4 linked regions of the Rhinolophus ferrumequinum genome follow. The protein of the gene in region 1 purifies or fractionates together with the protein of each later gene. This does not show direct contact. Links are inferred from orthologs where the notes say so. Each region holds a gene or a part of one and is shown in the gene's direction. Other genes may lie near its edges. The genes, in order: PTPN2, KPNA6, KPNA1 and STAT3.

Region 1 (7,913 bases):
GTTGCGATACATTAGCCACTAGCTATATGTGGCTATTGAACATTTAAAATGTGACTTGTGTCATCATCAGAAACTTCCAAACCCATAGAGAACTTTCATGAGTTTATTTGAACCAAACTGATGGCATGCCAGGAAGGAAGATCTTGAATGCTCTGGAGAATGACAGTATTGCAGTTTCTTTTATACATTCGGTATTAAGGAGGGAACTAAGGAAGATTACTTGTGGACAATATTATGTGCTCTTTTGAGAGTGGTGTAGGGGTTCAGAACGAGCCACCCCAAGATGTGCCTCAGTGGTATGTGGATTGTTTTGAGCTAAAGGAAATTTTAGCTTCAGTCTCGAGAAATTTCTGCCCCTCCCTTTAATTACCTAGAAAAACTTGAATTAGGGGGTCTTCTCCATAATAAGAGATTATCAGCAATAACTTTTCTTACCCTCCCTCCATCTGGCAGGGAAAACTTTTATTTACTAAACATTTGTTCTTCTTATAATCCTGCATTGACCCTTTGAAGCTTCTAAGGTGCGTTACCTCATTCCTGGATCAGGATGTCTTATATGCCTCAAACCTCCTTTCTATCTCTGAAGCTCTCATGCAAGTGCGGTCTCCGTCTTTCTCATGTATGTGGGGTTCCTGTATATATGTATGTATTAAATTTGGTTATTTTCTCTTGCTAAGCTGTCTCATGTCTATTTGATTATTAGACCAGCCAGAAGAACTTTGAGGGTAAAGGAAAGTTTGTTCCTCCCCCACAGTGGCTATGCCTTTGAGGGTCTGAAAAAAGAGGATTAGTGTGGATTTCAAAGGTGTGTTAACCTAGATGCACAAGAACAGTGGACAGGGCTTGCTTAAGGCAAAGATAAACCTTTTTATAGGCCCGGGACATGACTAACCACCAGGACCTGCCCAGTTAGGAATTTTATAATTAGATCACCTTGTGAGGTTACTTTCAGTCAGATTTATTACAGAACCCCTTTTTTTGTTCACACCAGTGCAACTAAGCAACTAAAATTTTAATTTGTTAAAGAAAAAAATATTCATGATGCTTGTTGAGGATGAGGTGAGGGAGACTTTATCCACGAGTGGAGGGGAACTATTGTTATGGTAGGTATAGGGACCATTGCAATGAGTCTTCTAGTGGAAGTGAGATCGGGCTTGTTAAAAAACAAAATTTAACAAAATGGTGTCACTTGTGCCAAAGCCCAAGATACCAAACCCAGATTTAATACCTGACCTAATTGCTATTTCAACTGTTACCGGAGAGTTGGCCTTCCTTGGCGCAGTGTCCAGGTTCTTGGCATCTCGAGCAAAGAACTGAATGAGATACCGAGGTAAAGTAGTAAAAAAGCAGTTTATTAGAAGAGATAGTACACTCCGAGGAAATGGGAGCAGACCCGAGGAGTAGAGAATGGCTCAAGGGCACAAGGTGGCATTATTAGGAGAAAAAGTACACTCCAAAGGATTTGGAGCAGGCTGAGCAAAAGAAGAGGCTCAAAGGCCCAAAGGCTCAAAGGCCCGAAGGTGGCATTATTAGGAGAAAATTATACTCCAAAGGGTTGGGAGCAGGCCCCAAGCAAAGGCAAAGCTCAAGAGGCTCAAAAAAGAAAAAAGGGCCTGACTGGGGAGGACTTGAAGTTTTTATTCTTTTTTGTCTAAACTGGGCTGCTCTTCCCACCCCTGCGTGGGACCACTTGATTGACACCTGTGATTGACAAGAGGCTATTATTACCTCATCTTTTTAGACTGTGCATGTTCTTTCCCAGAACTCAGTCTGTTATAATGAACTTCCAGGCGTATGTATGGTATAATGATAGTATAATGAAGCCAAGGTGAAATGAAGGTCATTGTGGCCTTTACTGCGCAGGTGCAAATGACTGGTCTAATCTAGTTGGGTATTTTGTACCCATTTGTTCCTCATAGGGGTAGATAATTACAATGAAAAGGGGAAGTTTTGGACAGAGACTGGAGGTCTTCTGGGCAGTCGCAGCCTGTGGGTTGTGTTGGACAGGCAGGAATGCAGAATCCCAATGTCTGTCTCTAACTGCCTGCCTTGTTTTCCCCTTGAGAGAAGTGATCCCCATAAAATAAATCTCTATGGGAAGTTGAGGAACAGGGAGTCTTTTCTTTTGTATCCACTCCCTGCTGGGCAGGGGTGTAGAACTGTCCCTACCTATTGGGGAATTCACGGAACTCTCGCCCTATCTGATCTTAGATGTGAGGAAGGGGTCTTGAGTCCGTCTGGAAGACCGGTTGGCTTCTCTGGTTGTGGCTGGCAATCTTGCTGGGGTATCCTCTGTATCCCCATGGCCCCTAAATGAAGAAAAGTAGATTTTAATTAATAAATCCATTAGCTCTATAGAGCCTGTGGCCATTCAACCACTCATTCAGGTGGTGTCAGTTGTCCAGGAGCTGGGCCCAGAATGTGCTGGAAAGAACATTAGGCTTCAATGATTACAATCAATAAGTATACTGGCCTGGAGGAATGTTAAAACCTATTTGGTCTCTGGGATGGAGTTATCCAAGAGTTAGGTACAGAATGGCTTGGGGAATGTTGAGAAGGAAGCAGGGGTTTTCTAGGATTCAGAAACTGACTGGAAGAGTAATCAAAACCAGGAGCTAAGGAGCTATGAAACTACATACGTATAGGGAAAAGGAGACTTAAAATTTCTATAGTGAGGGAGCTCTCCCATATCACAGCCTCTTCCGGAAACATAATCAGAGCTTGGAATTTTCTGGTCAGTACCAATGAGGTAATCTGTCAAGTGAACCCTCTCCATCCCTACACCCCAGAAAGAAGAGGCAATCTGCATGATAAAAATTTTCACCTTTCCCTTCATCCAGGAAAAAGATATCCTGGAGTGAAAATAATTCTTTCTTTTCTTTTAATAGCTCCCTTGCTCTAATTTCCTTTCTAAAAAACCTTCCATTTTGTACAACCCCTCAGAGAACCTTTCTAATTGCTAGATGGGATCCTGCCCAATTCATTAATTGTTTAATAAAGCCAATTTAGATCTTCAGATTTACTTAATTTTTAACAAATCCTTCACATTTCTTAAGGAGATATTATTGTGGGGACAGAGCCAGGAGTACAGTTTCCAGGCTCTCGGCCTCACATAGAAAGGTGCTGGCTCAGGTAGTAAACGGCCATCAACTGTGATTGGATGGCCATCAGCTGTGGCTAGTTGGCCGTCAGCTGTAACCAGTGATCCATTGGCCACTAATATAACTGCTGTGGCTACGCTAGCAGCAAATGGGGCTAGCAAGAAGATGGTGGCTGAGCTAGCAAGCGCGGATTGCAGTTAGCAAGTGAGGTTGGTTGGTTGGCAGAAAAGTGGACAGAAGGTTGCAGATCGTGTGGATCCTGTTTCCTGTGTCTGCAACCCAGCTGCCAGCAAGACTATAGTGGTATGACTCCCCTATCTATGGCTCCGTGGGTGTTCCTTTTTGGCCTCACCATATCTTGCGTTCTTATGTGGGGAGCGGGACCAGAGACCCTGCATGACACATGGCGCAGTGAGCAGGGTACGGTGCCGACCAAAGCTCTCCAAAGGGCAGTGGAGCAGTTTGTGTATATGAACACTCAGTCTCAGGAAGATCAGGAGGAGCAGCTGCTGGAGAGCTGGACCCCTGTGGAGGGATGGGAAGACGTGGATGGTTCTCTGACCAGCATTGGCTGGAGAAAGCAAAGGTCGTTGTGGCCCTGTGAGCTGGGAAGTGCTTGCTGAGGCCCTCACCCCCAGGTTGGGGAGGACTTGGAGACCTTGCCCTGCGGAGAGGTGTTGTGAGGCCAATGCGCAGCCCTGGGAATGACTATGGACTATTGGGAATTACCTTCCATCCCTGATTTGATGGACTGCTTGACTGTTTGCTTGGGAATGTACCACCCTGTAGTGGAACCAGTGGATGTTTGTGTGGGGACAGAGCCAGGAGTGCAGTTTCCAGGCTCTCGGCCTCACATAGAAAGGTGCTGGCTCAGGTAGTAAATGGCCATCAACTGTGATTGGATGGCCATCAGCTGTGGCTAGTTGGCCGTCAGCTGTAACCAGTGAGCCATTGGGCACCAATATAACTGCCAGGGCTACACTAGCAGCAAATGAAGGGCTAGCAAGAAGATGGTGGCTGAGCTAGCAAGCGCGGATTGCAGTTCGGACGGCGGGTTGCGGACAGTGTGGCTCCTGCTTCCTGTGTCTTCAACCCAGCCACCAGCAAGAATATAGTGGTATGACTCCTCCCCTATCTATGGCTCCGTGGGTGTTCCTTTTCGGCCTAGCCGTATCCTGCGCTTTTATGTGGGGAGTGGGACCAGAGACCCCGCATGACACCCTGCATGACAATTATAAACACGAGTTCACCAACAATGAATTATCTTAATCTGAAGTGAGATGATTTCTGTAACCAGTGCGTTTGTTTGGTAAACGGTGATACGCTCTTTTTACATTTTTAAATTGTATAACCTTTACTTAAGCTGTATTCTCCCTAATTCCAGGATAGGTTGCCTCTCCTTTTGTTATAGTGATGTGTCACAAAACCCCCAGGCATTAAGTAGCTGGCATCAGGGCTGGTTTACATTCTCTGAAAAGGCTAAGAAATTTGTTCTAAAGTTGGACACAGCCGCTTAACTGACCTAACTGATGTTTAAAATAAAATAACGGGAAAGCAAAAAGGAAGAAGGTTTTTAGGGTACTTTCTTGGCCTGCTCCATCCATGTGAACCTGGTATACTCCACACCCTCCCCGGGGCCATTTCTCTCGAGTCCAGCGAGCGGGCCAACTCCTGCCCAAGGATCTGAGACTACCGCCTCCAGGGTGATCTCCTTGGCTCCGCCCCTACCCACCTGGGCGCCCTCTGAACCACTCCTCCCGCGAGCGCCCCGCCCCGCCACCGGACCCTGTGACACGCCATTCGACGCGCTGACGTCATACGCTCCAGGTACTTTCCCCGCAGTCAGTCGGACTTGGCGTGGAGGCGGGGCGGGGCGCGGAGCGCGCATGCGCCGCAGCGCCAGCACGCTCCCCTGATCGTGCGGGGGCCTGAGCCTCTCCGCCGGCACAGGCTCCGCTCGCTCCAGCGGCCATGTCGACCACCGCCGAGCGGGAATTTGAGGAGCTGGATGCCCAGAATCGTTGGCAGCAGTTGTACTTGGTGAGTTGAGGGCTTGCGCGACAGCCGCCGTACTTCGCGGTGGACCCGGGCTCGCGCCCCCCAGTTCCCTTTAGCCTCCCCCGCCTCCCGCTCAGGGCGGAAGTGGCGGCGCGCAGGCCGCGTCAGGGCTGCGCCTGCGCCGACCGAATCTCTGGTCCCTTTTGAAAAAAAGACTTTAGATGGGGGGGTTCGGGGTGTGGAAGGGGGTGCCTATCTTAAGCGCAAGCGCAGTGTTAGTTCTGGAATGTGGCGCTACAGCGGCGCCTTGTGGCGGGCGTAGTTCTGTCTCTCTGTCCGCGGGCGTGGGGGGCGGGGAACTCGAGTGGCCAAAAGGCGGGTGGGTGAGGGGACCGGTGAGGCCCGCAGGCGATCGCGGGAAGTGGTGAAATCGCAGGGGACCGTGGAGAGGGGCGAGGTCGGTGAGGCATTGGGGTCTCGCAGAGCCGGGCAGCTGCGGCCTCACGCTTGCTTTCCCGCCCCTGTGCCTGTCTTTGCCCGCGGACACTTTTTTTAGCAGGCTGGGTGTTTCGTGGCGGAGCAGGCAGAGGCCGGCCGTGACACCCATTGCCGAAGGTGCTGCCAGCTCTTGCCTTGGTGGTTGTGGGTGGTACCTGGGCCTCTCGAAATGGTAGTGCCTAAACCGTAGTGCTGGCGAGAGCTCTTGGCGGATCAACAGTCTTGTTTCAGAGAGCCCAGTGTCTCAGCGTGTGGGTTGTCTTCCTCAAAGAGGTCCCAGGAACAAGCACCACCTAAATCAAAATAACCTTTCTGTCACCCCAGAAGGTGCTGTCATCCCCCCTCTCCGCCCTATAGGCCACCACGGTCCTGGTTTTTTATCACCGTAAAATAAACTTGCCTTGTTCTCGAACTCATGTAAATGGACTCATAGTTGAACTCTTGGTGACTAGCTTCTTTAGCTCAACTAGAGAACCTTTTAATTCAAACAATTTGATTTTATCTTTTAAAATGACTTAATTGCCTGTTCCCTACTGTTTAATTATTAGCTTATTATTCCCAAAATTGAATTGAGTGGCTGTGAGTTAAATGCTGCTCCTGCTGTTCGCTTCACTGTACAGGAAAAGAAGGAAAAATAAAGGCTTTCCTGTAAATCTCGATGGGCCTGGGTTTTCCCCCATACCGTTTAATTAGATGAAAGTAAAAAAATGTTTTCTTTGTCATGATGCTCAGAATGTAACATTTTCCTCTTGAACCCATTAGCTGGTAGTGAATACCTGGTTCACAGGGGTACAGAGTATGTTAGACTAGGGAACTAACTTTAAAGAATGCTGGTAAGGACTTTTCCAATTATAGAAAATTTGAACTGGAAGTTCTATTAGGAATCTATGTGAGAGCCTGCTAGCTGTGACATTTCCAGTGGTTTTTTTTTTTTTTTTTTTTTTTTTTAGCAGAGGCTACTGTCCAAGTTGCTAGTCATATGTACAAAATACAGATTTGAGAAGAGAAAGGTGAATGCTGCCAGTTAATTCAGCTTAACATTTTGGTTAAGCGGTTTGATTTTGTGGTGTGTGTGGGTGGGGGGGATAGTATCCTTGAAAATTCAATGAAAACTGTAATCTTTTTCATAAAAAAATGCACTTACAGCCACTGAAAATTTCATATTTAGTTTCAGGGAGTTCAGGAAACCCTTCCATGGACTCCTGCCTGGGAATCCTTTAGAGGATTGGTCAATGCTCTTATTATTTTCTTCTTAATGGAAGAACAAGAGTATTAGTTTGGTCAGGTCAGGGGAGATCATGCAATACACATTAGTGTTACAGTAAAAGTAGGTCACAAACGAAGAAAGTTAGTAATGGAAAGCAGACTTACAAAGAGTTTAATTAAGAGTGTTTTCTTTTGACTTTAGAGTATCCATATAGCCATTTTACCAATACATGCTGAGCACCCGTGGAGTGCTAGCCCCTGCTCTGGGTTTTGGAGATTCAGCAGAGAATGCTAGTGACAAAGTTCCTGTTCTTTAGGACCTCACATTCTAGGACTTGTTCTCTTGAGGGCTTCATTGCAATTCATTCATTCACTCATAATGCATCTGTTATGTGCCAGCGTTAGACTGAGTTCCTGCTTTCAAGGATACAGCCTAGTGGGGAGTAGTAAATAGGTAAGCAGATGAAAGTGTAAAAGTAATAAGTGCAATAGCTAGTGTTAAGCAGAGGGTGCTTTATTTTCCCCAAAGGGGTGCACTGGGAGTTCTGGTGAAGCAAGTGTACGCTGCTCTTTTAAGAATCCCAACTTGATGGGATTGAGTGGGGAAAGGTGGCTAAAATGAAGCACGACTATGTGACTTCTCTACTTTCCCATTGCTGGTAATATAAGTTTTAAACATCTCCTATGGCTCACAACACCACAGGTCCTGCCTTCCTGTATTTCTTCTCTCTTTTCCACTAGGTTCTGTTCCTTTAAATGTACATGTCTGTTCTTCCCTTAGGCCTTTATAAATGTAATTCTCTACATTATCACAACTTTTCCCCTTTTGCTTAACTGCCTCCTATTCATCCCTGAAGTCTCACTTCCTTAGGGGGTGCTTTCCTGACGCTCCCATACAGAGTATGACGTCTCCCCCCATATATTTCTGTAGCATCCCATGACTTCCCTTTTCGTAGCAGTGCATTAAGTCTAATGTAGCAGTAGATTTTATTTAGGGAACACAATTTGCGTTTCGCAAACTACTTTTTGCTTGAGTAGGGGAAAAGTGTTTAAGTGGCCTTTCTGCTTTGTATAGCACAACAGTGGGTGATACTTACGATAATGTTTGAG
Region 2 (7,284 bases), on another chromosome or scaffold:
GCCTGTCAGGTGCAGAGCTGAGCCTGACATGCAGGACTCCCATTTCCTGCCACTTCTCCCATCCTGTAAGCAGCTCTTGAGGTATCAGTACCTTGGCCCCTGCATTCTTTGAACTGATCAGAAAACTTTTATTGAGTCCCTACACTCTACGTTGCCCTGTAAACACCAGGTAAGAGTGAAGTGTCGCCATGTCCCCTGGAAGCTTCTGGCCTAGCTGGCGATGCTACACATGAAGTGGTAGGTGCTCAGGCTGTAGATTCTACAATAACCTTCCATGCCTATATCATAAGATGCTAATTTGTTCAGGCATTACAGTACCCAAGAAGATCATGTAGAAAAAGATGTTGATTTTAGACTGGAAAAGGTTTGAGAGCAGGCAAGACCTCTCAAGAAAAGCTTCCTGAAGGAGGTGGAGGTTGAACAAGATCTTAACTTATGTGGAAAGCGGTAGTCTTGACAGAAGGAACACCACAAGCAAAGGCAGAGGGGTGGCAAAGTCCATGCCTGACCCTCTGAAGTCTTTCTCCCCACCCAAATCTCCTTGGGGCCCCAAGAGCTTGTCCCCTTCAGTGGCCCACCTAGCCTATCCACGAGGCAGGTTTCAGGAGCCAACTTTCCAGCCTGTGCCTACTCTTTCCTGGGCAGTTCTTTTTCAGCAAACCCCTGCGGATCCTTAACATCCTGCTGCTGCTGGAGGGCGCTGTCATTGTCTACCAGCTGTACTCCTTAATGTCGTCTGAAAAGTGGTACCAGACCATCTCGCTGGCACTCATTCTCTTCAGCAACTACTATGCCTTCTTCAAACTGCTGCGGGACCGCCTGGTATTGGGCAAGGCTTACTCGTACTCGGCCAGCCCGCAGAGGGACCTGGACCACCGGTTCTCCTGAGCCCTGGGGCGACCCTGGGGACAACATCCAGGCTGCAGCCGGGAGTTCCTGGGGAAGGGGCTGTTGGGGAGGGTTGAGTGAGGGGCAAAAACAAAACAAAAAAAGACAAAAAAAATCCACCAGAGCTTTGTATTTTTGTTACATACTGTTTCTTTCTTTGATAATTGATGTGATTATGAGGAAAAAAAATCCTATTTTTTTACTCCCAATAAGTTTGTGTCTTGTATTTCTTTCCCTTCTTCTTGCCTATCAGAGCGCAGAGGTGTGGGATTCTGGGCCAGGAAGCCTCATGTGTGGCTTGTGGGGCCACTGTGGGCTCTGCCTTCTTCAATGGAGAGGAGAGGAGACACCCAAGGTCGTGGTCGCAGTGCTAGCTGCTTCTAGCTGAATGCTCACTGCGTACCAGATGCGATTCTATGTGTGTGACAGGCCTTGTCTTAATCCAGCTTTTGTGACAATCCTAGTCTATAGATGAAGAATGGGCTCAGAGCTATAGTGACTTGCCCAAGTTAACAGCTAGGACGTAGAGCTGGGTCAAAAAACCCTCCAAAAGACGACACTACTATCCTGGCAGGATGTGATGTCCTGATTCAGCATGCAGTTCCTGAGACCCTGCTCTGTGCCAGGCTTTGAGGTAGATGGTGAGAAAGCCAAGACAGAAACAAGTCCTACTACACTGAGATGGGTGTAACAGTTACCCTGTACAGAGTAGCAAAAGGGAAAGAATGTTTAATGCTCTTGACTTCTTGGAGGAGATAGCCTGAGTTGTATCAGCCACTTCCTAGGTGGACAAGAGGGAAAAGGCACTTCAGGGAAAAGGACACATGCAGTGAGTAGCACGGAGTTTTGGAATATCTTGGTGTCTTTTGGAAGGGAAGAGTAAGCAGAATGTGGTTCCTAGAGCAGGATGGATAAGGAAAGTGGGGCGAGGCAGGGTGGAGCTGGAAAGGTCTGCATCAGAGAGGACCAATAGCTCTAGACAAGGGAGGGTTTGTGAGCAAGGCCAAGGGCTAGAGTGGATACAAAGCTGCTTGGAGGGCCACCTGGCTCCTATGGGCATAGCAGGGGTGGGAGAGGAAACACAGTTACAGCCACTCATCTAGTCTACCTGTGTTCCCTGAGCCATTTTTTTTGGCCACAGGATATGCAGGTGAGTCCACAGGGTGTATGCGGGACAGACAATCCACAAATGTGTTTGGTGCTTCTGTTGAGGCAGGCATTGTGCTAGTGGGACAGGTAGAAAGATGAGGAATAATATCAACGAAAGAAAGTCTAAACCTGTAGAGAATTTTTATGAGTTTATTTGAGCCAAAACTGATGATAGTGCTGGAAAGCAAGATCTCAAATGCTCTGGAGAATGGCACTTTTGCAGTTTCTCTTCTGCATTTGGAATTAAGAAGGGAACAGAAGATTACATGAAGGGGGGAGAAAGCAGGGTACAGGATAGCTAAGATTAGTGCTCCCTTGAGGGCGGTTATGCCTCCGAGGGGTCTGAAAAAGAGGATTACTCTGGTGTTTCAAAGGTGTGTTAACCTAGATGCACAAAAATAATGGACAGGGCTTGCTTAAGGCAAAGATGAACCTTTTACTAAAAAAGTTGTATGCTTGGAGCTTGACTACCCACCATGACCTGCCCAGTTAGGAATTTATGATCAGGTCATCCTGTGAGATTACTTTTGCTCAGATTTATTACAGTGCCCCTTTTTTTTGTCCACAATACATACTACCATGTTTCCCCAAAAATAAGACCTAGCCGGACAATCAGCTCTAATGCGTCTTTTGGAGCAAAAATTAATATAAGACCCAGTCTTATTTTACTATAAGACTATAAGACCAGGTCTCTCTAAGATATAATATAATACCTGGTCTTATATTACTTTTTGCTCCAAAAGATGCATTAGAGCTGATTGTACAACTAGGTCTTTCTTATTTTCAGGGAACGGGGTATCTCTGCCATAGACAACCTTGAGAGAGAGACATATCTTATAAGCAAATTAGGATGCTAACTGCTGAGCAAAATGTGTGTCCAGGTCACTGGGTTGCAAAAATGAGAGATACCCCTAACTCTGTCCGGAAAGACAGGCTGTTTCAAGGAAGTGAGAAACGGTCTGGAAAGTGAATAGTTCACCCCACGGTCAAGGGGGAACGGAGGGCATTACATTCCAAGCAGAGGGAACAGCACATGCAAAGGCACAAAAGACCATGGGAGGAAATGATTCCATGATTCCCCAAATATGGATGGAGCCTGGGTTGCCTTGTGGGGAGTAGCCCAAGAAGCCAGTAAGGATCAGCCTGTGTCAGATTGAAATGTTTGGGCATTACCTAAGGGCAGAGAGTAGGAAGTTGCTAAACAGAGGAGTGCATGATAAGGTATCTCCTTTTAAAGAGATAATGGGTATGAGTGGGAGAGCCTAGAGGCAGGAAACCGGTGAGGATGCAGGCAAAATAGATCGGGAGAGGATGAAGAGGTCTGACGTTGAACAGGGGCAGTAGAAAGAGAAAGATAGTGCTTCCTTTTTGACCCTGAATTTTGAGTTGTTTCCATTAATGGACCAGGCACATGACTAGAGTTCGCAATTTATTGTGACAGGATCTGGAAGTCCAGGTCCCTTATTCTGCTTCCAAAAGACAGCTCCCTCTTGGGACCAGTGACTTGAAGATACAGCCTTCCTCTGTGTGTGGAAGTGGGGGACAGGAGAACTGGCCTGTCATACAAAAAGAGGCCAAATAGGTGCCAGCATAAATTCCGTAATTCAAAAGATACATGAACACTCGGAGCTTCAATTTCTTCAACTCAGAAGGGAGATCATTTCCCATGCTTCGTGTAACTCACAGGCCTGTTCGTTTTGTTTATTCATTCAACAATTATTTATGGAGCACATACTATGTGCCAGACACTGTACTAGGTGCTGGAGATAGTGATGAACAAATACAACACCAATCCCTGCTCCCAGAGAGCTTGCTGTGAGGATAAACGAAATAGCTCTGTGAACTATAAAGCACTGCAGCAGTCTTATTATTTTTCTACTTTTCATCTTCCAATAAAACTGTAAGCCCGTTTACTCCTGACTTATTTCCTTATCTCTGTATCCTTGAGCAAGTCACTTCCCCTCTTCAGATAATTCCTTATACATATCCAGCTGGGTCTATGATTGGCATTAATTACAAAAGTAAGGATTGCTTTCTGAGAGAAAACGTTTCTAGTCTATTTCCTCACTAGAGGCAGAAAACGCTGAGAATTAGGCACACTTTCTTTAGTAGGTAATCCCTTTCCTTCCTCCCCACCCAAGTCTCTCTCCACCCATCCCTTTTAGATCCCACCCCTATTCCCCGCCTTTTTAGCTGCGGTCTCTTTAAGAGCGTTCCTCTGTGTAAACTAGGCTGTGGAGCTGAGAGCGCATTTCTTCCCGGGGTTGAATGTTAAGTTGTTTGTCCGTTTCGGGCTGCCGTCTTGCAGGTCCGCCATATTGTCTGCTGAAGCTGCCGCTGAAGCTGCCGCCGCTGCCGCCGCCAAGTAGGAGCGGAGCCGCGATGGGTGAGTAAGGGAACCAGGCATCTGGGGATTCGAGTTGAGGCCGTCTTGAGGCTTGGGTCTGGCGACAGCCTGTCTCCAGTTTTCAGAGGATGTCTGAGTCCCCTCCAAATAGGTTTGGGGGAGAAGCCAGGCCGGGAGTGGCGCTTAGGCCAGTTTGGGGCCGGGCTAGGGCCCATGCGGGGAGCAGTCCTTGGGGGCTGGTTCTGGGAACACGTCGCCACGCCTGGAGCCCCCACGTGGTGTCCCTGGGCCAGAGCCCAAGCGTTCCCCGGGGCTAGAAAGGGGCCGACCCTCCGGCCTGCGCCGAGACTGCGGCCGGGAAACGGGCTCCCCGCCGCAGGCCCGGGCGGCGCCACGGGATCCTCATCCAGGCGTGTGTTTGACCGACGCGCATCTTGACTGGATGCAGTGGCTCCCCTGAACTGAGGGAAATCCTACCCACGTCGCGCTTAGAGTCCTCTGGTGAGGGGACGCCAGGCAAGCCAGCTCCAGGCCCGTAACCAAGGGCAGCCATGCTAAAGACAGCCTGGGCCGCTGAAGGCTAGAACTTCCCCAGCCAAAGCAAAAATAGGGTGGTTCGGTTAGGTTTAGAGTGACGGCCTTCATAGTGGTGGAAAACCAAAGGCCCAGACATTGTGGCCGTATATAGGTCGGGGATTTAAGGTTTCTGGGTCTGGCCCTGGTTGGGAGAAAAGGAGAGACCTGTTGCTTGCTCTTTCTGAAGGGACTCCGGCTGGCCAGGCTTGTGTTAGGGAAGAATGCAATGGAGAAGTCTTTGGATTTAGGGGCAGAAACATTAGTGGTATTTCCTCTCCAGCAATAAAAAATATCAAATTTGCTAAGCTCTTATGTGCAGACATTGTTCTGAGTGCTTTACATGTTCCGTTTTACTTAATATGAGCCGCCTAATGAGACAGATACTGTTATCCGTATTTTACAGATAAGGAAACTGAGACTTAGAGAGGTAAGGTAATGTACCCAAGGTCACACAGTGCCTAAACCTGGGTGATCACTCTAAAGCCCTAGTTTATAGCCTGGCCCCCTAGTGGTTGGGCTGGAAAAGGGGGGAAGAAAGCTTTTAACCCTAGGCGAAGTTGTAAAGGTGGTGGGTTTTTTTGCTTTTTGGTGTTTTTTTTTTTGCTGGTGGGCCCACTTTGAAGTCTTCAGTCTGAACAAAACTGGAAAACTGCAGATTGAATTGCTAACCCCAACTGTTGTTTGTGGGGGGGGGGGGCGGAGGAGGAGCTAAACGATACCCTGGAATTGAGTTTTGTAAGATCCTGATTCTGAGGAAATATTAATTATTCCCTTGAACAGCAAAGCAATGATTGTAGAATCAGATCTGGTATTATAAACCTGTCTGGCACTTCCTAGCTCTCATCCAGAGAAGTCACTTAGATAAATGCAGTAATACATATGGAAAGCACAACCACGACAAGTGTTCGTTCTTTTTCTTCCTTTCTGAGCCTTCCATGCCCTCATCTCTAGAAAGAGGGAAGGGCAGTGTTATCAAGGTGTTTGAGGACTAAAGATAACACAGTGTTGGAAGGTTAGGGTTAGGGTTCTATAAATATCAGACCAGATTGTTTACCTTCAATAATGTTAGTTCCTTTCTCTTAAGTACTCTGGTTTCCAGAATCTTCCATTAAGACTTACAGGTCTGTCTTTGTAATTGCAGCTTTATGTATCAGTGAAAAAGTTTAGGGCTTTTATGTTACAGATTTTACACTGGCCTTCAATTTCAAGAACACTGGTACCTCAAAGGGAGGGAGCTACTAATATTTAGTTTGTTGAGTTCAGTGAAATAAATCTGGTACAGTTTACTCAGTTTTTACAGATTGGGAAACTACCTCAGAGAAGATAACACCTAGTAAACAGTAAAGTCAGAAATGAGATTCTTAACCATTTTGCTGCACATAAACCTCTTGGAAGACTTAAGGTGTGAAGTAAAGTAGTCTTTTTCTGGTAGACTTTGAAATGAAAGTTCTTAAGTGGAGCAACAAAACCTGACCTGGGTCCTGATGGGGATTTTTAGTCTAGAGTGGGGTGGCCTCCCTTTTTCTCCAGCTCCAATTCAAGTACCTTTCACATCTCACCCTGTCATTCTAAATGTCCAGCTATTGGTGGTTTTGTTGTTTTTTGTTTTTAGCTGATCTTTATACCATGGGAGTGAAACTAGTGTAAGGATACATTTAAACCTGACAGTGAATCCGAGGTAGTTTGGGTTATCCTCATTTTTAAATGAGTAAACTGAGGCTTTGAGATTGGGTGACTAGTCCAAGGCTGGTGATCTAGGCCCTTTGGATCCTGGGGACACTAACACGGCCTGCACCACATCTACATGAATCTAGAACCTGCTGTATTTCACTGTGTCTCAGGTGTACTCTCCTTGAGCTCTGGCCTATATCCTGTGCTATTTCTCCTGTGCCAGACTTCACTAGCCTTGACAGACCTTTATAATGATTTCACTGCCATTAGGAACCCCGTGGAAGTAATCTTTGCAGCTCTGGAAGTTACTTATGCTAACCCTCCCCGGCAGAGACCACCGCCTCTCAAAACTAAGTCTTGGCAGACACTGGTGGTTTTATCACCATCCCTGCCACCTTGCTAATCAAGAATCGGGCAGCCCCTTCCCAGCCCCAGGGGCTAGGTCTTGATTAATATAAACTCTAAACCAAATCATTGTAATTCTGTCTCCCTGGGCAGTGATTGATTTGGGCATGGGCATGTGATACAGTTCTGGCTAATGAGATGTGAAGGGAAGCCTGGGTGACTTCTGAAAAAGCCTTCCTTATTTAAGAGAGATTTGCCAAGTTTTATTATTTTTTGCCAGCTTATGTTTTAATTCAGGTATCACCAAA
Region 3 (7,282 bases), on another chromosome or scaffold:
ATATTAAATAAGTTGAATTAGTAATTGAAAACTTACCTATCAATTAAACAAGTAAATTCAACAGGTTAAAATTATTTCTCTAGTGAGTTCTACCAAATCTTCAAAGAACAGATAATTCCAATCTTATATTAAATCTTCTAGAGAACAGACATAGAAGGAATACTCCCCCCAAAATTTTCAGGGCTAGTTCAACCTTGATACCAAAGATAGACAACAGTATAAAATACAGACATAAAATACAACAGGAAAAACAATAGACATTCATTTATGTAAATACACATAGATGCACAAATCCTAATCAAAATATTAAATATAATTTATCTCTATATAAATAAATCATGGTCAATTTGGGTTTATCTCAGAAATTCAAGGATAACTTAACTTTAGAAAAATCTATTAATGTAAATCACCATGTAGTTACAGCCAACTCTTGAACAACATGAGATTTAGGAGGGGTGGCAACCTCCGCACAGTCAAAAATCAGCATATAATTTCTAACTCCCCAAAGACTTAAGTTGTCCCTCGGTAACCATGGTGGAGGTAGGTTCCAGGACCCCCACGGATACCAAAATCCTGGGATGCTGAAGTCCCCTATATAAAATGTCATAGATCAATGTACACAGTTCACCCTCTGCATCCGCGGACTCCCAGCTGCGTATGGAAAACAGAACAGGTATTTATTGAAAAAAGAAAGTCTGCACATAAGTGGACTGCGCAATTCAAGCAGTTGTTGTTCAACTACATATTAAATGGTATGCTCATTTCCATATATATAGAGAAAAGTTATTTGATAAACAATTTATAAAAGATTCTGTACCAAAAACTTAGAGCAAACATCATATTTTATGTTAAAACATTAGAACGATTCCCTACAAAATCAGGATGAGACAAAGGATGCTTCCTATTCCACTTAAATTTAGCAAATGAATTAGAGCTTCTGTCAAAGACAGTAAAAGAAGAACAAACCAAAAAAAAAAGACTGAAAATAGAGAAATGAAAATGTCATTAATCACAGGATATATGACTGTCTATAGAAAAATCCAAGAAAATCTGAAGACAAGTTATTAGAATTAATAAAAGCATTCTCCAAGGTTCTACATGGAAGTTACACATAAATCAATTTCATTCCTATGCATGAGAAACAGTAAATGTGACATTTTTTACCATTACAATAGCAACAGCAAAAAAAAAAATAAGGTAACTAGACATAAATTTAACAAAAGACGTATAAAAACTTCATGAAAAAAATTACAAAACATCACTGAAAGGCATTAAAGAAGACCTAAATAAATGGAGAGGTATACTATCTCCTCATCCAGAGGAAGACAATATAATAGAGATGGCTATTCTTCAAAAATTAATCATATCAATTCAATGAAATTTCAATCAAAATCATGCCAGATTTTCTTCATAGAAATTGATGGAGTTATTATAAAATTTATATTTAATAAAAAGGCCAAAGAAAAGCAAAGGCAATTTTAGAGAATAATAACAAAGTGAAGGTGATTTGATCTATAACATATCATGACTTATACAACTACAGTAATTCAGATGTGTTATTGGTGCAGGGATAGACCAAAAAAAGCTGAGTAAAATAGAAACCTCCAAAACAGACCTGCGCTAATGTGGAAATTTGAGAATATAGGTATCTTGAATGTATATATCTCAAAATAGATACGTAACTCTATATATTGAATATATATAAAATAAAGTTGATAACTATGTATATTCAAGATACATATATATCTTGTTTACATATTATATATACTATATAAATTATATAAATATACATAAATATTCTGTGATATTTATGATGCACATTTTCACATTGCAGGTTTTATGGTGTCAATATATTTATGGTACATTTCAAAATTTCCTGCAAATATTTGCAATGAGAAGCTAAGTACCATTTAAAAGTCAGAATTTATGTGATAAAAAATACAATTGATTTCTTATTCAAGTTTTCACGTTCAGGTCAAAACTGCTATTTTATGCTTGCAGTTTTGCTCACTGGATCTTTTCATTTTTCTGAGTGTCATGTAACTATCTATATGTATACTTTTCTCAATATAGAGCCCTGAATATGTGTATTTATATGAATGACAGAGGTAAAATTGCAGATCACTGGGAAAACAATGGACCAACCTCAATAAGTGGTTTTGGACAACAGGTTAAGGAAATGGAAAACAAATTTGGATCATGTCCTAGTTTGGGTTCCCTAGAAGCAGAGCCTGAGATGGGGATTCTTGTTCACTCTTGAGCCACTCTTCTCAATAAGTGACTTATTGAGGAAGCACTCTCAGGGAATATGGGGTTAGGGGAAAGCTTCAGTCTGATTCCAGGGGGAAGTTCTAGAGCACAAATTGTACCATTAGAGTAAGTCCCATTCTGTAGCAAGGGTTGTCCCTTTGAACTCTGTCAATTACTGGACTACACCTGTCCTTGGGGATGGGAGTGGGAGCCTTCTAGAAAGCTGGCTCCTTTGGGGTCTGCAATTCAGAGAAGGGGGCAGCTGACAGTTATCAGCCAGCACTCACAGCAGGTAAGGGAATGGCTATACTGGCTAGATGAAGAGGATCCATCTGGCCAGTACAGGTGGGAAAGAGTGACCAGCCATCCTGATTTGCCCGACCTTCTGGGATTTAGCACCAAAATTCTCACATCCTGGGCAGCCTTCCCAGCACTCACGCCAAAAATCTTGGTCTTCTTGTAATGGGTGTGGGAGATTAGGGGAAAAGTACAAAATCCATGACTGCCCCCTCAAAATAGGGGCTGAAAGCAACACTGCTTTTAATGTCGAATGGACACACCATAGATTGACTTCTATCTATAGTCACCATCATTGTTTTTGTCCCCGACCATTGATGTTGATAACCCTGAGTTGCATTTCACAATTATGATAATTGTTGTAGCGTTCTGAGGGAGGTGACCTAAGTGTGCAATTTAAGTGCACTGCAGTCGTAAGCATTAGCAGTCCATCTTTGGCTTTGCCTGTGGATTAATCGTTGTGCTTCGTATAAACTGAATTTTTTAGCATCATGAATACGGTAACCATGCCTTATAAGAGGTAAGATAATGAGAATGAGAATGATTATAATACCAACAACAGCATGACCCAAACATCATTGAAAAAGAAATATAAATGACTGTGTAATGTTAATGAGAGATGGAAGGACAATATAACTAGATTAGGAAGGAAAAAACAGAACACACTGCACAATACGTAGAGAAGTATTTTGGATTGGGCATGGTGGAGAGGGGATGTGAAAGCCCCTGTAAATCAGTTTACAACTCTGGAATGAGACAGACAGTACTTTAAATTCAAAAGTTTTTTAGTTTCCTCAAGAGACACCCATGCTCAGTTGAAAATAATGGCTGAATTATCTTGGGCATGTCACATGAACCAATATGCATTATTGTATCATGCCTTGGATTGATCTACGGAAGTGAGAGAGGTTACATTTCCTGATTCAAAAACATGTTCCCTCTAGCTCTAAAGGTAATTTGACTTGAAAAGTGAAGTTTCAAATTGTCTTCAAGATGTCTATTAAGATTTTAATGAAACCACAACACATAAACCAAAGGGTGTTACATCTTGTCCAAAGACAAAGTAGAATTGACTCATTTATCTGCTTTCAGTGCGAATGTTAATTTTGACAAGTTCTATCCAGTCTAAACTTCTTACCAAAGAAAATGAAAGGGTGTCATCTGCTAAACAAACACCTTATACAGAACACTGTTAAAAGAAGGGTGTGGTTTGCTTACCTGTGATACGGAGGTTTTCATAATGAAAGTGTTTGGTCAATTTCAGCGTCCTCAAAATGTACGGAAGAATTTAATGAAATTTTTGACTTTATACAAATGGAAGGAGATAGTTTACTTAAACAAATGCCTAAAAGATGGCTATCATTGTTGCCAGCCATAGAAAAGAAAAGAAAAATATATTAGGTACTAACGGCATTACCGGAAGCTAGATACAGATAGAGATGAGCAAGGGATCGATCCGCCCTGGAAGAGCTTCGACGACAGGTTTTATAGCTTTAACTTCGTAATTCAACCTAAGAAGTACCGTTTAATGGTCACTCCACCCACCACAACTCTACAACCTTTACAATTGACTCCGAACCTCCTCAGCGAGACCTTCTCCTCGACCTCCCACTCTTCAGCTGGTTGGGATAACGGAGAGAGGTTCCACCGAAAGAAGGTTGAAAGACTACATCTCCCGGCAGCCTCTGTATCAGGGCAGCGAAGGGGCGCGCGCAGGCGCGAGGGCCGGCCCCCGTGCGCAGACGCACTGCGAACGCCGGCTGAGCTAGGTCTTGCTGCTGGTTGCGCGGCGGCGGATCGCGAGGCCTGGTGAGCACGGCCAAGGATCTCGCCGGCTCTTCGAGGTTGTGTGCGCGAGGGGTACTGCGGCCGGCGAGCGAGCAAGCGGCTCACCACAGCAGTGGCACGGGGATCGCCCGCCGTTAGCCTGGTGAGTGCGGGGACCCCTGCGGCCCCGGCCCCTCCCCCTCCCGCCGGCGGATCCGGCAGTCCTCGGCGGGACCCGGGAGAGGTCCCGGGGCGTGGGAGGGCGCCGGCCGTGTTCGAGCTCGGGTTCCTGGGCCCGGGCGCTCGCGGCGCGTCGGTGCGTCACTGGCCCGGCTGTCCTAACGGCCGCGCGGCCGGCGGAGTGACTGGGGCGGGCGGCGGGGGGGGGGAGCGCTGATGTGATCGCCATCGGGAACGCCGGTCGAGGCGGGGCGGCGGCGGTGCTGGAAGCGGCGGCGGTGACTGCGGGGCGCCGAGGCAGCGGGGCGGAGAGGAGGCGAGCGCGGAGCCTGCGCTGTGGCCCCGAGCGAGCGGGTGGGGGACGGGGTGCGCAGCGCAGAGTGCTGTGACTGAGGCAGGAAAGAGCAGGGATGGGGGACGTGCGAAAATCCTAAGCCAGGCTGGATGGGACGGTCTGGGAATTCACAAGTTACAGCCGGAGCCGGAGCCGGTGGTTTGGAGGGAGGTGGAGGCGGGGGTGGAGACGTAACGACTGCAGTTTACAGATGTCATAACAACATGGGCCTGAAGCGGCTGACAGGGGTGTGGTAATTATAGGAATGACAGAACTCAGTCTGCACATTGCGTGTGTAAGTGGTGATTCGAGGGAAACAGCGAAGTATTAGAGACAAGGAAACTGGAGGATGGCTGGAGTCAGGGCAGTCGTCATGAAGGAATGTTTAAGGTTTGAATGAAAGCATTTAACATCCCACTTGTAAGTGAAAGATTTCACAAGAATTGATTTTTAAGGTTTAAATTAAAAGTAAACAATTTTGCAGGATTCTTCTGAAACATATTAAATAATATTACTTTTTTCTTTAATAAAACAGTTTCTTCAAAACTTGTTTCTAGCCGATGAAGGATGTTTTTGCTCCCTCTTGTTGCTTTAAGAGTCATTCTTGACATTGTTTTTTCCTCAACTTGTTCTTGTATTTGTGATATTTTGAAAGTAATCCACAGGTTATTCCCCCTCCATTTTAAAGATTGAAGAGATGAAATTTGAACTTTTCAAAGAAAAGTGAAAATGAACTCTCTTGTATTTTTACTGTAATAATTTATTATTGGAAGGGGCGCTTTTATGTGTAATACCTGATTTTAAGTTGGGGGACATGAGCAAAAGTAAAGGAATTAACATTCATTGAGTTCCTTTCCAAGTTTTGTGCTAAATACTTTATATTAAAACATTTAATGCTTACAGTAACTCTGAAGTAGATATTAATTTTTCCTGTTCTACAGATGAAAACTTGGACGATTGCAGAAATAGAACTTACCTAAGGTCATCCAGCTCTTGTTGGAACCAGCCTTAGAACCCAAAGTTACTGCCACTTTTAAAAAATTATTTATCTCCTTTCGTACCTCTTGGTTGTGTTTTCTTTATTTAACCCATTCATTCAGCTAATACTTATGGAGTGATCATGTGCCCCAACACTGGGGATACAAGACATGGTTAAGACACTCTTCCTGTCCTCATATAATTTATAGTGTAGAGGGGAAGACTAACAAATAACGAATGTAAACACTGCATAACACTTCATTTGTCATTATAGTTGAGCAGAAACTGTAAACAACTCTCCTAAATAGCAAAGGAAGTTCAAATAGAATCAGGTAACATAAGCCTTGAGTTTACAGTAGTAGGGAACCAAAACATACATTTATAAAAACCTAGAATAAACTACATGATAGAACTAAATGCCTCATCTGAAGTCAGTATATTTGCATTATGTTATTTTATGTCCTCATGGAAGTTTCTTCACAAAGCTATGATTTAATATTATGTATCTTGACTTCTATCTAGGATTGATACATAAGAAAAGGCAACATGAAACTCTTCATTGCCATCCAAGACACTGTTTCTAATTTTTTTTATTTATTCTTACAGAGTAGAGACTTTGAGACAGTTTTTTTAAGACCCCAGTGATGAGCCTTTTAAAAAAAAAACCAAACAAAAAACAAACGGCTGCTTTTATTACATTGTTTGTGTTTTGTAGGTGTTGGTGTTTCTCTTTACACTTTGGCTGTGAGGAGAGTCAGAGATGTGTCCAATTTTTATAATTTTCCTTAGCCTTAACTATGTTACAATTATACCAGATAGTCTGGAATTGCTCTGTGTTGTTTCCTGGATTATTTTCTTTGTTCCCTGTTGCTATCAATTTTGTTTTTATATTTTCCCTTTTATTTGAAAGTAGGGATTATATCTTATTTTAATTTACAATGTTTTAGGCATAGTGTTTGTTGAATTAATGATGAAGTCTTGATGATTTATGATGTTTGTATTTTATCTCTGTCAGATTGTTTTTAGAAGTATATATGAATACTTTGTATAAAATCAATTAAGACTTTTGTATAAAATCAGTTAAGACTTTGGTCCATGTATGTAAAGATGACTGATCTAGTGATAAAGATAATTCCGTTACTATCTTTGTTTTAAGATTTCTGTACTTTGCAGGGTATTATGAATTCAGCCATAATTATGGAAGAAAACATTGTAAATGGTGAACAATTCAATTAGCTGTTGTGGCTGATTTGTATTCTTGCTGCAGTAAGCAGAAGGTGGCCCTAGGCCACTGAGGGGCCAAATAGAGCCTGCATTAGAAAAGTTTGAGGCCCTGCAGTGAAAGAGCAGGGATGAAGACTGATGGAACAGTACAGTTTTATTTCGTTTTGTTTTATTTAAAGATGTTCCAACTCTACAAAACTGACCTAAGTGATAAAATGGTTCTGACCTAGTGTAGTAGACTAATTGGGACAG
Region 4 (7,934 bases), on another chromosome or scaffold:
TTAATCGCTGTGATGGTCAAGGGAAGAAAGTCTAGGGGTAAGGAGGGCAGTTGATCATCAGTACCAGATCCTAGAGCAAAGATACGTAAAATGACTGAGAATAAGACATCAGCTTTGAGAAGGAGGAGGTCTCTGATGGTCTTCAAGGGCACTGTGCTGTGGAGAGAAGAGAGCAGAAGGCACCCTGGTAAAGCTAGTGAAAGTGAGGGCATGAGCACCATGATGGGAAAGAAGGGCGTAACTTGAGGGTCAAGATAGAAAGGAGGGAGTATCTTAGGAGCCAGAAGGGAGGAAATAAGTGGGGAAGGTCAGGAGGGAGAGAAGAATTGATAAAGCTCAGAGAGGGGACAGGTAGGACCAAGAGAACTTCCATTCATTCAATAAGTATTTATTTAGTGCCTGTTTCCTGGGCACTGGGGAGACAAAGGAGCACCAAACAGGCAAGGACCATTTTTTGGAACTGACAGTATAACGAGGAAGAAAGAGAAGAAACTGTAAACAGATAAATGAGAAATATAATAAGAATTCCAGAGGAAACAGCATATATAGAGATTAAGGGGCTGGGAGCAACTTTAGGTGACAGTAGTTAGACAAGGACTCTCTGAGCAGGTGACACCAGAAGGGTGAGAAGAAACTAGTCATGTGAAAGCTGGAGAAAGAAAAAGTATGGCGTGTGCAAAAGCCCTGAGGTGGGAAATGGACTGATTGGAATTTAGTGGGCAGAATAGAGGTGTGGGGGGTTGGTGGGTGGGTAAGCAGGTACTGAAGGGGATTAAAAAAAAAGAAGAATTCCTGTATCCTAAGCCTCATGGGAAGCCACTGACGGGACAGAATGACATCGTATGAATGATATTTTAAGCCGGAAAAGAGCTTAGTGTTGAAAATATTGAGTAGGGAGGACTGTTCTTCAGACAGGAGGAAAGGGAGATGCTTACATGATGATGCCTGAGAAGTGTTTTTGCACAACGAAAGTAGAGATTCAAGGAGTTCGTGTTGCACAGATCTGCTCCTCTGTGATTTTAGTGAGGGGGAGTTGGGCAACCCTGTGTGAATGAACCTTTCTGTTGCTGCGCCCCGTGGGGGTCCCATCACCCACACAAGTTGCCCGTTGCCCCTTTTGGTCACTGCAGTGATTGCCACCTATTTACCGCCTCCAATGTTCTTCTCCAAATCTTCTCTTTCTTCCCATGTCTTTTTCTTGATTTAGAGTTTTAGTACTAATTCCTCCAGGGAAGAGGAACTAAATAAAACATTTCTAGAATTTTACAAAGCCCGGTAAGTCTCAATTCCTGATCTAGCCTATAGTTCCTCTGAGTCTCTCTGAGGTAATAAATGGAAACCTATCCTGACTACATATTGATGTGTAACAAACCACCCCAAATCTTAGTGGCTTAAAGCAACGACAACATTTATTTTGCTCATGAATTTGTAATCTGGGTAAGGTTCAGCAAAAAAGTCTCTTCTCTTGGGGTGGCCGGTTAGCTGAGTTGGTTAGAGCATGATGCTAATAATATCAACATTGCTGGTTTGATCTCTGCATGGGCCAGTGTGAGCTGTGCCCTCCCCAACTAGATTGAAACAATTACTTGAATTGGAGCTGATGGGTCCTGGAAAAACACATTAAAATGAATAAAAGTTTTTTTTAAAAAAAGGCTCTTCTCTGTTCCATTTGGCCTCCATCGGCATGGTTTGAATGTTGGGGGCTGGAATCAGCTGGAGTCTGGCTCATTCACAGTTGATGGTTCCTATCAGCTGGGTCTTAGCTGGACTCTTGGCCAGAACACCTTTGTGTGGCCTCCACGTGGAGCCTGGGCTTCCTCACAACATGGCGGCTGAGTTCCAAGGGTGAGTGTACCAGGAGAGAGTCAGGTGGAAGCTGTATCACCTTTTATGACCTAATCTCAGAAGTCAGACAGCATCATTTCCACTATATTCTATGTATTAGAAGCAAGTCGCCAAGGGAATGGAGCTAGACTTTATCTTTAGATGGGAGAAGTGTCAGATAATTTGCGGACATGTTTATAAACCACCACAAACTTGCAAGGCTTCTGCACTCTGCCTTATTCACTTGATGGGTGGAGAATGGGGGCCTCATCTTTTCCCCTCCTTTAGACCCTTCCTTGAGGATCCAAGAGGAAGGTTAGGCCTGGAGATATGGTCAAGGAAGAGCAGTTATTCAGGCTTTCAAAGTAGACACTTGGATTTGAATCTTGACTCTGCCATTTTTACCAGGTATATATATGTGGGGAAGTCACTTAACATTGGGTAAGCCTCATTTTCTTCATTTGTAAAATCACAGTATCCTCCGCATGGGGTTATTATAAGGATTAAATGAGTTAATACATGTGCTATATAATACATACTTAGAGTACTGGCTAGTACACAATAAATACTCCATACGTGTTAGCTATTGCCCATATGAGTGTTCAATACATGTTTATTACTATTCAATTAAATCAGGCTTAGGTGAGTTCTGGGCTAGATGTCACATGCTTTCAACTATGTAGGCAGAGAGGCCAGGCTTTGGAGTCAGCCAGACTGGATTCTCATTCTGAGTTTACCTTTAGTTTCTGGCTATGGGACCTTGGACCAGTCTTTCATTTTCTCAGCCATAGTTTCTTCAGTTGAAAAAAAGAATTATAATAGTGCCCTACCTCACTAGATTCTTGAGGATCAAATGAGATCATCTATGTAAAAACCTTAGCTCAATTCCTGGAACATAGTAATTACTTAATAAATGTTAATCATTAATTTTATTTACCAGGAAGTAGGCTAATAAATGGGGCTGAGGTGGATAGGGAAACTAGAATAGGGAAACAACCTGCTAAGGGAGCCCAGCAGAAGAGATTAACTTTGACAGGAAGAATCTCAGAAAGCCCAGAGGAAGAAATATAGGAACTGAGCTTTGAAGAATGAATAAGAGTTTTTCAGGTAGGAAATGGGGAAAGAGAAGATATTTTAGGTGGAAGGGAGATCTTTAATGGCATGAAGCTACAGAGGTGCTGACATGTTTGGAGGAAGGTGATGAATTCAGTGTGGGAGGGTAAGGTTTGTGGGATGGAGGGGATGAGGCTGGAAAGGGGAGTTCAGGTCAAAGCATTGGCTCAAGTGAAAGAAACTGCCATCTGTAAGCGCAGGGGGATTGGCAGAGTGTGGAGAAAGGCCAGTGGCGGGGCTGGAGAGAGGTTTTGTAGGTGGAACAGATAGGCTCAGGGGTAGATTTTCTGTATGAGGGAAACAAAAGCCAGCTGCTGAGAAGGCAGGAGAAGAGGGCAGGGTATTAGTAGATGGAACAAAGTCATGAGATGTGAAGCTCAAAAACCTGGCTCTGGTATACCTCTGAGTAGCTCCTGACCTGAGATTGTCATACTATTTTGGCCTTAGTTTCCTATCAATAAATAATATGGCCTCTCCTATCTGCTACACATAATTATTGTGAGAAAGAAAAGAGGTAACGAGTGTGCAAGTACTTTGTAAGCAGTAAATAACTAAAGAAATGTTAGACCCTATGTTATTAGGGAGGCTGTCAACTGCATGGGATAATACAGCTAAAGCAGAGTTTAGGTGAGGTGGATCACCTCTCACTTGGATATAAATAAGGTGGTAGAAAGGTCCAAATCTGGTCTTTGACTGGGCTTCAGTTATCTGGGGAACCGTGAGAATTTGTGGGTAAAAGTGTATACTGTATATTTCTAGGGCGAGAATCCAACAGAGTCCAGAAAGATCTGTGACCCTCTCCCACCACAGGTTAAGAGTCATTGATTTTTCTCACCAGAAATTAATAAGAATAGCTATCCTTGGGGAGAAATACTGGTGGGGGAAGGAGGGAAATTTTCATTTTTAATTTTCAACTTTTCTGAACCGTTTGAATTTTCTAACCACGAATATGTGTTAGTTTCATTGAAAATAACTGTCATCAGGGGTTATCTGAGTGGTAACATAATTAGGCCCTTTTAAGATTTCATCTTTATACCCCTTTGTATTAAACACTCACAACAAACACAAAAACAATAGCTGTTATTAAAAAGAAAAAACACCTGATAGTATCAGCGCGCGCACACGCACACACAAATTACTCCATCATGCAAAGTACATCCTCTATCATGTAAGGTAAAAAAATATCTACATTTTCTATAAACTACTGGCTTCAATGCAGTAAAACTTGGGTTCGCGCTCAAGCAGAGTAGGCGAAAAAAAGGCAGGCAATTTCAACTCAGAAGCATAAAAATATGTATACGTGTCAATCTTCATATGTACTGTCTTCTGCATTCTCGTGAACTGGCCAATGTGCGAACAGTGGCGTTTGATGCTTAAAGCGACGCAACCGAGAACAGGGTTAAATCCACTACCCTCTCCCCACGCACTCTAGTAATTACTCTATTTCCACGTCATATTTCCGGGTGTGTGTGTCCCGTCTCACGCAGAAACTGCAGTTCAAAGCTGGCGGGAGTCACCCATGTTCTTTTTGCTGTCTCCAGAAACCCAGTTGAGGTGTTGGGCCCCGAGGACCTGGCGATATTTTAGGACTGTCTAACTGGCTGATTCCCACGTGGTTAGTGACTCCCAACCTCGCCGCCACGTGGTGTCAAGGGCCGGGAAAAGGGAGAGCAAGCAGATGAGAGCCGCATCAGGGGCATTTAAAGTGTCTTGACGTCACGCACTGCCAGGAACTCAGCTGAGTTTTTAGCAGGACATTCCGGTCATCTTCCCTCCCTCCCCCTGAGCTTCTGTGCCCGAGTCCTTGGCAATTCCCCTGCTGTAGTGGAGGGAGGAGCACTAAGCCTTCGGAACAGCCATCAAGGGGCGTTCCCAGCCTTGTGTGACCCGCCCTTCCTTCCAGAAGCTGTCCTCATTGGTCAGTGGGTGGGGCTTCGGATGTACGTACATGCACCAGGGCCTCTGGGTGGCTGAGAAAACTGGCCGTCTCATGAATTATGCAGAACGGCGTGTCGCGGCCAATCTGGGGATGGGCGGGGATTGGCTGGAGGGGCTGTAATTCAGAGATTTCCGGAGCTGCGGCGGCGTAGACTGGGAGAGCCTGGGGTTCCGACTTCGCGGCGGAGGGAGTGAGCCCGAACCGATCCTTGGCTAGCACCCCCGCACGGCGCGCTCTCTCAGCGTCTGCCAGGAGAGACCCAGTGGACCGAGGGAGCCCCGCGGCTCGCATCCCGGCGCAAGCGCACCCCGGCCTGTCGGGCCTCAGCCGGAGAAACAGGTGAAGGGGGTGAAGGGTGGGGCCGTTCTCCCCCTACGGCTCCTAGGCCTGGGGACCCCGGGGGCACCGGAGTGACCGGAGTGACTGGGGTGTTTGGGGGAGTTGTGGATCGAAACTTCAGTGGGGCAGGAGGATACAAAGAGACACGGAGAGTCGCTCTGAAGGGACAACTCCTAGGGATGACAGGAGCGGGCCTCTGAAGGGACAGGGGGCGCTGGAAGGAAGTTTCGTTCTTCAGAGAAGGGGGAGGCGCCGAGGAAGAGAGAATGGGTTCGAGGGGGAGGACCGTGGGACAAGAGCACTCTAGGGTGGGGGTGGCAGGAATGAGGGACAGCCCCCCGACTTCCTGCTCTCTGGGGCTCCGGGGACGTTCTGGCCACAGGAGCGACTGTCACGCCGGCGGAGATCACGGGGAGGTGGGGGGGGTTGAAAAGAGCCTTCCCCCCCAGCCACTTCCTCGGCCTTGCGGTGTTCTCGCTCCTTTAGGAGCCAGCTTTGCCCCTCTGGAGGTAAGAATAGGTGTCTTCCCCCTACCGTCTCACGAGCTGGTTGGTTGTGGGTAGGATTATTGCATAAGAATCAAGTTTCCTGTAGGGAAATTGGCAGTCTTGTGCACTCTTTCTAAATTCCCTCCCGTCTTTTACAACGTTAAGCCCTGCTTCCCTCCGCCCCCTTCTAAAACAAAATACCCCCCCCCCCAATCAAGCCAGCTCTAGAGAGAAATAAACCTCTTTTCTCCTTGACATTGTTCTTTTATAAACACCTGGTAAACTCGGCCAGAAGATAAATAATTGAGACCTTCCGTTTACTGGGTTGTGGTGTTGCTTAATTGCATAGGGCAGAATGCACCAATCGAGAGTGGGAGTTTTCTGTCTCAGAGCCAAGATCTTGGGTAAATGCAGAGGAGAGGGAAACAAAGACAGGCTGGCCTTGGTGAAGCCATGTGTGCAAACTTTACCTGTGTTTGGGGTGTGTGGTTGGTCTTAAGTTAGCAGAATTCATACTGTTACTCAAGTTGCTTTTTCCATGTTTAGTACACATCCCTCTGTGTTTATATCAAGTGGGTGTATGGTGTTGACAACACTTCTTCTTATTAAAAATGTACATAATGTGTGTCTGCTGGTTTTTATTGTGTGTATCTAAAGGGTATATTCTGTAAATGGGTTGTAACTTTTTGGCTAGTTGTGCTGATAAAGCATTGGTTTGAATAAATCAGAATAGTGAATCATCTCAGTCTTTTAGATGTGGATTTAGATTGTGTTATGACTTGATTCAGTCAATTTTATATTTTATTTTATATTAAACATCTGTGTTCCCTGAATCAATACATTTATTTCCTTATTACATGTGCCAGAGTACTAGCAGAATCTGCTGGAGTACTAGCAGAATTTTTGCTCAGATATTTGCATAGTGGGATGGGGGAAAGAAACGTGAAATACAGAAAAATTGTAGAAGATGTTGGAGGGTTGATCTTAGTCTATAATTTGTTAGCACACCTTCCACAAAGAACTATAGCAAATTTATTAATCTTTTAGTTTTATATGTAGTTCTTTTGGGAAGAATAATCATTTAGAAATATCCACAGTTATGACTTGACCCACAAGGCATAGATAGTTCCTGTAACATTAATCCTATTTTGTGGGTAAGAAAATTGAGGCAAAGAAACAAGATACTTGTCATAGTGGTGGAACTCACACCTGTACATTTTGTGCTCTTTTGACTATCTATGCTTAAATATTTGGTCTTGATTTAGAGTGAGTGTAGTCCCTGTTGGGAAAGCTGTCAGTGAAATTCTAACATATATCTGGACAGTGAAATACCACCAATAGGCTGTCCTACCCCATAGGAGATACGTAATAAACAGGAGAAAAAAAGTACAAATAGGGTTCGCTTAGGTTATTTTTCTATCTAACTGTGCTGTTTAACTTGGGAAGTAACTAACTTTTTAGTCACATCATTTACCATCAGAATTTAGCTATTTGCTAATGGAAAGAAATATTTATTTAGGCAAGTTTGTAGATGGACAGTCGTGGCCTAAATGTTATTTAAACCAAAGTGCCTTGTGGCTTGATCAGTGGTCATTTATGTCTCCAGAAAGTTGCTTTCTCCTCCCTGCCTGTGCCTGTCTTGACATTCAGATGTGAGATGAGGCAGAGGTAGTGACTATTCCAGACACAGTCTAGCACATTTTCACCTTATAGTTTTCTCAGAGGTGGTGTACAAATATTTACTTTTTGCAACTTAGTGAAAGTTGCTGTGAAGATAAGATGCCTTGTTGACAGAACTTGCAGTCTACTGAGGTGACTTGATAAATGTTTTATCCATACAATGCAACGTGTCCTCAAAGAGATGATGAGACATTAAGCCTATGATCTCTATTGTATATTAAAAGAAAAATGAAAACATATAGCACAGGCATGGAATATATCCATTATCGTGGAAAGTTATTTTGGAGAGTGCTGCACTAAGCGCTACAGGTTTTAGAGGAACGAGAGGTCACGAGACCTGGAATTATCTAGGAAGTCGTCTTGCCAAAGGAGAAATTTCATCTGGGTCCCAAGTAATGGTTGGAATTTGATAGGTATAAAGAATTAGGGGTGAGGAGTTTTGGTGGTATAGCACAAACAAAATCCTGGTAGATTAGGAAGGTAAGTAGGAGAGAAGGAGTGCCTACTTCTAAGAGGTCCTGAATGCAAGACCAAGGATTTTCAGTTTTGAC

Evidence for each region.
Region 2: the proteins of PTPN2 (region 1) and KPNA6 purify together in Homo sapiens (affinity purification with mass spectrometry; 3 studies listed by BioGRID and IntAct, with this or other methods). This does not show direct contact. The link is inferred for Rhinolophus ferrumequinum from reciprocal best matches to the Homo sapiens genes PTPN2 and KPNA6.
Region 3: the proteins of PTPN2 (region 1) and KPNA1 purify together in Homo sapiens (affinity purification with mass spectrometry; 3 studies listed by BioGRID and IntAct, with this or other methods). This does not show direct contact. The link is inferred for Rhinolophus ferrumequinum from reciprocal best matches to the Homo sapiens genes PTPN2 and KPNA1.
Region 4: the proteins of PTPN2 (region 1) and STAT3 purify together in Homo sapiens (affinity purification with western blotting; 7 studies listed by BioGRID). This does not show direct contact. The link is inferred for Rhinolophus ferrumequinum from reciprocal best matches to the Homo sapiens genes PTPN2 and STAT3.

The regions. Positions count from the first base shown.
Region 1 is NC_046302.1:5,383,299-5,391,211, forward strand, and holds the start of PTPN2 (tyrosine-protein phosphatase non-receptor type 2), read left to right. Parts: upstream 1-4,895; 5' UTR 4,896-5,072; coding exon 5,073-5,141; intron 5,142-7,913. UniProt on the Homo sapiens protein: Non-receptor type tyrosine-specific phosphatase that dephosphorylates receptor protein tyrosine kinases including INSR, EGFR, CSF1R, PDGFR.
Region 2 is NC_046292.1:22,040,764-22,048,047, forward strand, and holds the start of KPNA6 (importin subunit alpha-7), read left to right. Parts: upstream 1-4,279; 5' UTR 4,280-4,305; coding exon 4,306-4,423; intron 4,424-4,746; exon of another isoform or gene 4,747-4,885; intron 4,886-7,284. Other genes in the region: TMEM39B (transmembrane protein 39B), read left to right, coding at 646-888. UniProt on the Homo sapiens protein: Functions in nuclear protein import as an adapter protein for nuclear receptor KPNB1. Binds specifically and directly to substrates containing either a simple or bipartite NLS motif.
Region 3 is NC_046285.1:47,276,073-47,283,354, reverse strand, and holds the start of KPNA1 (importin subunit alpha-5), read left to right. Parts: upstream 1-4,280; 5' UTR 4,281-4,477; intron 4,478-7,282. UniProt on the Homo sapiens protein: Functions in nuclear protein import as an adapter protein for nuclear receptor KPNB1. Binds specifically and directly to substrates containing either a simple or bipartite NLS motif.
Region 4 is NC_046304.1:38,168,578-38,176,511, reverse strand, and holds the start of STAT3 (signal transducer and activator of transcription 3), read left to right. Parts: upstream 1-4,929; 5' UTR 4,930-5,215; intron 5,216-5,703; exon of another isoform or gene 5,704-5,724; intron 5,725-7,934. UniProt on the Homo sapiens protein: Signal transducer and transcription activator that mediates cellular responses to interleukins, KITLG/SCF, LEP and other growth factors. Once activated, recruits coactivators, such as NCOA1 or MED1, to the promoter region of the target gene.